Linked DNA regions of Ovis aries. Each later gene encodes a partner of the first gene's protein in a complex. Links are inferred from orthologs where the notes say so. Each region holds a gene or a part of one and is shown in the gene's direction. Other genes may lie near its edges.

Region 1 (3,097 bases):
CTAGAGCTACTATTTTTTCCTGTCAATCTGAGTGGTGTACACCCTCACTCCTGCATTGCCTACTGCCTTGCTCTGGGTGTGTCGTGCGTAAGTCTGCTGGGAGACGCGGAGGGAAGTCTGACAATTGATCTCTGCTCCCTGGGGTGAATCAGCCTCCTCCAGCTTTGTGTGTCCCCCTCTTCTCTCTGCTTCTCCTCAGGGCTCCCTGTGCCACTACTTGACCCAGCACACCAGTGACTGGGGCAGTTCCCTGCGGATGGCACTGTCCCTGGCGCAGGGCCTGGCGTTTCTCCATGAGGAACGTTGGCAGGATGGTGGGTGAGCTGGGGGCGGGAAGCCATGGGAGTCAGGAGCCATGCTGCTGTTTCTGATTTTCCCTTTAGCTTGGAGGGGAAGGATTGGGTCAAAAAGACAAAGGAAGAAGATCTGTGCCCCTTCAGCCTGGCTTCTCCCACAGGCCAGTATAAACCAGGTATCGCCCACCGAGATCTGAGCAGCCAGAATGTGCTCATTCGGGACGATGGGTCATGTGCCATTGGAGATCTGGGCCTCGCCTTGGTGCTCCCTGGCCTCGCCCAGCCCCCAACCTGGGCCCCTAGTCAACCCCGAGGCCCGGCTGCCATCATGGAGGTCAGTACTCTGGAGGAGGGTGAGACCCAGGATGGTGGTGGTGCTGCTGATGACGAAGCAGCGACAGTGCAGCAGCACCGATAGTGTACGGGGGCTTGCGCGGACCAGTGTTGCGGTGAGGGTTGCCATGGAGATGATCCCTGCCGTCCAGGCTGGCACCCAGCGGTACATGGCACCGGAGCTCTTGGACAAGACTCTGGACCTTCAGGACTGGGGCACGGCCCTGCGGCGAGCTGATGTCTACTCTCTGGCTCTGCTCTTGTGGGAGATTATGAGTCGCTGCCCAGATTTGCGACCTGGTGAGGCTGGGTGTGACAGAGGCCCCCTCCCCGCCCCCCACCCCCGTGCCCCACCTGCCCATTCTATACTCACCTACCTCCTGACCCAGGAAGCTCTACCCTTCTCCCTCTTGATCTTTCTACAAGAAGGCACCCCTTGGGCTACCTGACACCTAGCTTCATGTGCCTTTTCCCAGACAGCAGACCACCACCCTTCCAACTGGCCTATGAGGCAGAACTGGGCAGCGCCCCCACCACCTGTGAGCTGTGGACCTTGGCAGTGGAGGAGAGGAGGCGCCCTCACGTTCCATCTACCTGGTGCTGCTTTACCACAGTAAGAGGGTGTGGGCTGGTGGGCTTGGGACCTGGACAGTCTCGACACGGGCTTCAGGGACCTATGCATCAGGACAGCCTACCTGTTCCTATCCCTTCTCAGCTCCCACCGCTCCTGGCTCATGGTCAGCTGGAGCTGGGCAAACTTGCTCTATACTCCAGTTCTTCCCTTTCCACTGTAAGCCTCACATACCCCGTTCCTGAGACACGCACCTTCCTCTTGCTCAGGTTTGCCCTGTCCATCCCTCTTCTCTCCATCATCAGTTTGCCTTGTTCCTCAGTTCCTTCCTCCAGGAAGCCCTCCTTGGCTTTGCTTCTGGTCTGAGCTCTGCCCCCAAGATGGCTGCTTTCCTTGTACACTGGAGCCCAATATTTGTTTTTCAACATTTTTTAAAAAGTGTTTATTTATTTGTTATTTTTGTGTATGCTGGGTCTTCACTGGGGCGCTTGGGCTTTCTCTAGTTGTGGTGCGTGGGCTGCTCGTGGCGGTGGCTTCTCTTGTTGAGGAACACAGGCTCTGGGCCCGCGGATTTCCCTAGTTGTGATGCATGGGCTTATTTGCTCCATGCCATGTGGAGTCTTCCTGGAGCAGGGATCAAACCTGTGTCCCTTGCATTGGCAGGTGGATTCTTAACCACTGTACCACCAGGGAAGAATAGATTAAAAAATTATCTATTATTTATTTGGCTGCATCGGGTCGTAGTTGTGGCACATGGGATCTTTGTTGCGTCATGCGAGGTCTTTCACTGGGGCACACAGACTCTGTAGCTGTGTTTCTTGGGCTCCGGAGCACACAGGCTTAGTAGATGTGGCTTCTGCGCTTAGATTCTCAGGCATGTAGCATCTTAATTCCCCCACCAGGAATCAAGCCTATGTCCCTTGGATAGCAATTTGGATTCTGAACTACCGGACCACCAGGGAAGTCCCCTGAAGCCCAATATTTAATCCAATAATTTCCTCATTCTGTCTTACACCTCTGTGTTTCTGTCATGACCCAATTAAAGCCAGATCTAGGGATAAGGGTTAAAGCAGTGCCTGAATAGTGAAATTTCAGGGTTTCTTCGGAAAAGTTTCCTTACAGGAGGCCCCTTCCCCTGCTACCTGATCTGGTTTCCACTGCACAACTGTCTGTTGGGTTTGGTAACAAAGGCCCGGGTATTGTTTGCAGAAGACCCTGGTTGCCTGAGAGAAAAGAACAGTTAAACCATTAATGAGTCTGAACTAGCATCTCAAAGGAAAAGGTGGACTCTTTGGAGAGAACTTTTCTCATAAGAGAGGAAATGAAAGGCGTGATTTGGGTGAAGGGGAGGAAGGAGGCTCCAGGAAGGAACAGTAGAGGAGTGTTGAGACCTGGGCCATCAAGGATGCCTTTTAAAGCTGGGGCCACTCAGGGTCCTGAAGTAAAGCCTGCCTCCCGGTCATTCTTCCCAGGACCCTGGAGGCCTGAGAGAGCTCCTGGAGGACTGCTGGGATGCAGACCCTGAAGCGCGGCTAACAGCTGAGTGTGTACAGAAGCGCCTGGCTGCCCTGGCCTCTCCTGAGGAGGCCCACCCCTTCCCTGAGGGCTGTGCGCAGGACTGCTCACCTTGCTGCCTGGAAGACCATCTCTCCACTCCTCCCGTCTGCCATTCTCCTCAGTAGGCTGCAGCTGAGTGCCTGCCACTTCATGGTTCAGCAAGGCCCTTTTTCCAGAAATCCTCAACCTACCTGGACGTCTGTGTAAATATGCATTTATGTAGAACCTGTGTTTGTTGTTGTTCAGTCGCTAGATTGTGTCTGACTCTCTGTGACTCCATGGACTGCAGCATGCCAGGCTCCTCTGTCCTCCACTATATCCTGCTGCTGCTGCTAAGTCA
Region 2 (4,126 bases), on another chromosome or scaffold:
CAGCCTCTGGGGTGCATCCCCCTGCTCCTGGGGTCCATCCCCCAGCTCCTGGGGTCCACCCCCCGGCACCAGTGGTTCACCCACCAGCATCTGGGGTCCACCCCCCTGCTCCAGGGGTCCACCCTCCAGCCCCAGGAGTCCACCCTCCTGCTCCGGGAGTCCACCCTCCAGCCCCAGGGGTCCATCCTCCCCCATCTGCTGGTGTTCACCCCCAGGCACCAGTGGTGCACCCACCAGCTCCTGCAGTTCACCCCCAGGCTCCGGGGGTGCACCCGACTCCTGCCGTTCACCCCCAGGCTCCAGGGGTCCACCCACCAGCTCCTGGGGTCCACCCACCAGCCCCTGGGATCCACCCCCAGCCTCCTGGGGTCCACCCCCCTCCTCCTGGGGTCCATCCTCCGGCTCCTGGGGTCCATCCTCAGCCACCTGGGGTGCACCCCTCAAATCCTGGGGTGCACCCCCCAACGCCCATGCCCCCGATGCTGAGGCCTCCACTGCCCTCCGAAGGCCCTGGGAACATTCCTCCCCCTCCCCCCACCAACTGAAAAGCCACCCCCATCCTAGCAAGTCTGGTTTGGTTTTCCTGGGTTTCGCCCTCAGAGTAGAGTTCTTTTGTACTGGGCTGGGTGTCCTCAGAGCTCATTAAAGAGTCTGCTGACCCTGAACTGGACTGCTGTGTTAACCTGTGGGCGGTCAGCTTGCTGTGGGTGAACACACGTGACTGCTTTCCACCACCATAGGGGGTGTCAGGGTCCCACCTGGACCACAGGGGGTGGCCCCTGCTGTCTCTGCAAGGACAGACCCTGTGGGCCAGCAGAATGTGGGGTGGTTCTCTGGGAAGACAGCAGAGCGAAGAAGGCTGCTCACTCTCCTTGGGGGTCTCTGTGGGCCTCAGAGGTAGGGTGAGCGAGCACGTGGGGTCACTGGGGGACAGACCTGCCTACCCGATGTGAAGCGTCATCCCCCTTGGGGCTGGCACCTGAATCCTCCTGGGGCAGGGGCTCCACACCTTGCCCTCCAACACCCCCAGGTTGTTGATAGTCTGACTGTCTGGGGCATGCACTCCTGCTCACATTCCTGCTCTGGGGAGGGGAAAGATTTGTCAAGGACAGTCTGACAAATGGGTCACAGGCCACACACACTGTATCACTGCTCAGGAGATAGACAGGCAGGTTGGAACAGAGGGGGCTTTGAGAAGGCCACAGGCCTCCCAGGCTCGCAGCAGGCACCAGTCTCCAAGGTCATGTCCCAGGAGGAGATAGGGACTGCCCTGTACCACAAACAGCCCTGCTCCCCTTATAAAGTAGGGCAGCGCAGCCCCTGGAAGCTCCCAGGATGCCCGGTCCATCTCTCTCTCTGGCCCTGGTGCTGTCGGCCATGGGGGCTCTGCTGAGGCCAGGGACCCCCAGGGAAGAGGTCTCCAATACCTCAGCCTCGCCCAGGGAGCAGGCCACAGGCAGCGGGACACTCATCTTTCAGCAAGGCTGGGACTGGCCACTCCCCAGTCTCTGGCTGCCAGGCAGCCCTCAGGACCCCCTGTGCCTGGTGACCCTGCATGGGAGTGGCAACGGGAGCAGGGCCCCCCTGCGGGTGGTGGGGTCCCTGAGCGGCTATGAGCAGGCCTTCCTGGAGGCTGTGCGGCGCACCCACTGGGGCCTGAGTGACTTGACCACCTTCGCTGTGTGCCCCGCTGGTGACGGGCAGCCTGTGCTGCCCCACCTGCAGCGGCTGCAGGCATGGCTGGGGGAGCCCGGGGGTCGGTGGCTGGTGGTCCTGCACCTGGAGGAAGGTATGTGTTGTGTCGGGGCTGGGGTGGGAGGCCAGGCTCTAGTGCCCTCCTCCCAAGAGCAGAGGACTGCAGAGCCCCCAGCCCAGACCCCTCCCCAGTCTCAGGAAGTGGAGGCTAATGGCCAGAGAGGTGGGTCACTGTATCTTTGCTTGTTTGGGGCCAGAAGTTCTCCAGCTCCCAGCCACCCCTCTCCCCATGCAGTGCCTGGCAGAGGGGGATGTGGGGGCTAACACCTTGTTCACCTACCTGGGAGCTACACAGTGGGGGATGGAGGAGGGAGGCAGGTCAGTGCAGCCTGATGGTCCAGCAGAGGAGTGCCTCTCCCTCCACACTGGGTAGCAAGAGGTTCCTGTTCCAAGGGATCGCTGTCCTCAGACCCACTACCAGGACTCCCCCAGGAGCTCTCCAGGCCTAGAGCCCCCAAGGGCTGGGGAAACACAGGTGGCAGCCCCACTGCCCACCCTATCCATCACTTCTAGGCCACTCCTGTCCCAGAGAAGCCAGGAGCCAGCGTCAAACCTCTCACCAGGTTCCCCCAGGCTTTGGTTGGCGTGGGGTCTCCTATGGAGGGGACAGGCTTAGGGGAGGTGCTCAGGCTTCGGTGGCTCAGGTGCCTCCCTTCTTCCTTTGTCCTGGCCGCAGTGACGTGGGAGCCGACACCCTTGCTGAGGTTCCAGGAGCCTCCACCTGGAGGAGCCAGCCCCCCAGAGCTGGCGCTGCTGGTGTTGTACCCAGGGCCTGGCCTGGAGGTCACTGTCACCGGGGCTGGGCTACCAGGCACCCAGGTACCAGGGAGTGGAATGTGGCTCTCTCAGGCCCCCCAGGCCCCCCCACAGAGCAAGGGAGGGATTATGGGTTTGTGTTTGTGTTGTTTTTAACTTGGCCTCACAGAAAGGCCACAAGTGTCCAGGCTAGACCTTGAGGGGATGTTAAGGGCAACAGGCAGAGCAGGGTTGGCATCCATGCCCTTCCCCCAACCTGGCTGAACTCCCCGTGTCTGCCTGCAGAGCCTCTGCCTGACCGCAGACTCGGACTTCCTGGCCTTGGTCGTGGACCCTCCGGAGGGGGCCTGGCGCCGGCCTGGGCTAGCCCTGACCCTGCAGCGCCGTGGAAATGGTAGGCCTTGCCTCGACAGGGACCCTACTGGGTGGCTGCCCTCGACCCGCAGACCCCAGCCCATCCCCGGCCGCTGAACCGCACGGCACACGCGCCTTCCCTCTCAGGTGAGCCCCTGAGCACCGCCCAGCTGCAGGCGCTGCTGTTCGGTGCAGACTCCCGCTGCTTCACACGAAAAACCCCGGCCCTGTTGCTCTTGCTGTCGGCGCGGTCGTCGGCACCGATGCCCGCGCACGGTCGGCTGGACTTGGTGCCCTTCCCACAGCCCAGGTGCGCGCAGGCTCGGACCTGGGGATGCGGGGAGTGTGGACGCCGCAGCCTTGCGCCCTCCCGACCCCCGACTCTGCTGTCCAGGCCTTCCCCAGAGCCAGAGGAGGCACCGCCCAGCGCCGATCCCTTCCTGGAGACTCTCACGCGCCTGGTGCGCGCGCTGCGGGGACCCCCGGCCCGGAGCTCGCCACCGCGACTGGCCTTGGACCCCGGCGCACTGGCTGGTTTCCCGCAGGGCCAGGTCAACCTGTCGGACCCCACGGCCCTGGAGCGCCTGCTGGACGGCGAGGAGCCGCTGCTGCTGCTGCTGCCGCCAACAGCAGCCACCACCGGGGTCCCCGCAACGCCGCAAGGTCCCAAGTCCCCTCTGTGGGCCGCGGGACTAGCGCGCCGTGTGGCTGCCGAGCTTCAGGCAGCAGCTGCCGAGCTGCGCGCCCTCCCTGGGCTGCCTCCTGCCGCCCCTCCGCTGCTGGCGCGCCTGCTGGCACTGTGCCCTGGAAACCCAGATGGCCCCGGCGGCCCGCTGCGCGCTCTGCTGCTACTCAAAGCGCTGCAGGGCCTGCGCGCTGAGTGGCGCGGGCGGGAGCGGAGCGGCTCTGCACGGGCGCAGCGCAGCACCGGAGCCGCGGCTGCAGACGGGCCGTGCGCTCTGCGTGAGCTGAGCGTAGACCTGCGGGCCGAGCGCTCGGTGCTCATCCCCGAGACATACCAGGCCAACAACTGCCAGGGCGCCTGCGGCTGGCCTCAGTCGGACCGCAACCCACGCTACGGCAACCACGTGGTGCTGCTGCTGAAGATGCAGGCCCGCGGCGCCGCCCTGGCGCGCCCGCCCTGCTGTGTGCCCACAGCCTACACAGGCAAGCTCCTCATCAGCCTGTCCGAGGAGCGCATCAGTGCGCACCACGTCCCGAACATGGTGGCCACCGAGTGCGGCTGCCGGTGACCTCCCGC

The links. The genes of interacting proteins can lie anywhere in the genome.
Region 2: the proteins of AMHR2 (region 1) and AMH are in contact, whole or in part, in a crystal structure (PDB 7L0J), measured with the Homo sapiens proteins. The link is inferred for Ovis aries from reciprocal best matches to the Homo sapiens genes AMHR2 and AMH. Residues at the interface, in NP_065434.1 of Homo sapiens: Gly31, Val32, Arg33, Gly34, Ser35, Thr36, Thr38, Leu39, Phe62, Ile64, Glu75, Met76, Arg80, Asp81, Ser82, Glu84, Pro85, Ser95, Arg97, Ala98, Pro100, Ser101, Leu106, Thr108; in NP_000470.3 of Homo sapiens: Leu471, Arg472, Glu474, Val477, Leu478, Ile479, Pro480, Glu481, Thr482, Tyr483, Gln484, Lys534, Leu535, Ile537, Leu539, Glu542, Arg543, Ile544, Ser545, Ala546.

Annotation. Positions count from the first base shown.
Region 1 is NC_056056.1:133,077,843-133,080,939, reverse strand, and holds part of AMHR2 (anti-Muellerian hormone type-2 receptor), read left to right. Parts: intron 1-199; coding exon 200-314; intron 315-457; coding exon 458-630; intron 631-781; coding exon 782-929; intron 930-1,105; coding exon 1,106-1,242; intron 1,243-2,672; coding exon 2,673-2,882; 3' UTR 2,883-3,097. UniProt on the Homo sapiens protein: On ligand binding, forms a receptor complex consisting of two type II and two type I transmembrane serine/threonine kinases.
Region 2 is NC_056058.1:19,191,506-19,195,631, forward strand, and holds the start of AMH (muellerian-inhibiting factor precursor), read left to right. Parts: upstream 1-1,325; 5' UTR 1,326-1,335; coding exon 1,336-1,789; intron 1,790-2,431; coding exon 2,432-2,574; intron 2,575-2,796; coding exon 2,797-2,905; intron 2,906-3,012; coding exon 3,013-3,175; intron 3,176-3,259; coding exon 3,260-4,118; 3' UTR 4,119-4,126. Other genes in the region: SF3A2 (splicing factor 3A subunit 2), read left to right, coding at 1-545. UniProt on the Homo sapiens protein: Plays an important role in several reproductive functions. Induces Muellerian duct regression during male fetal sexual differentiation. Also plays a role in Leydig cell differentiation and function.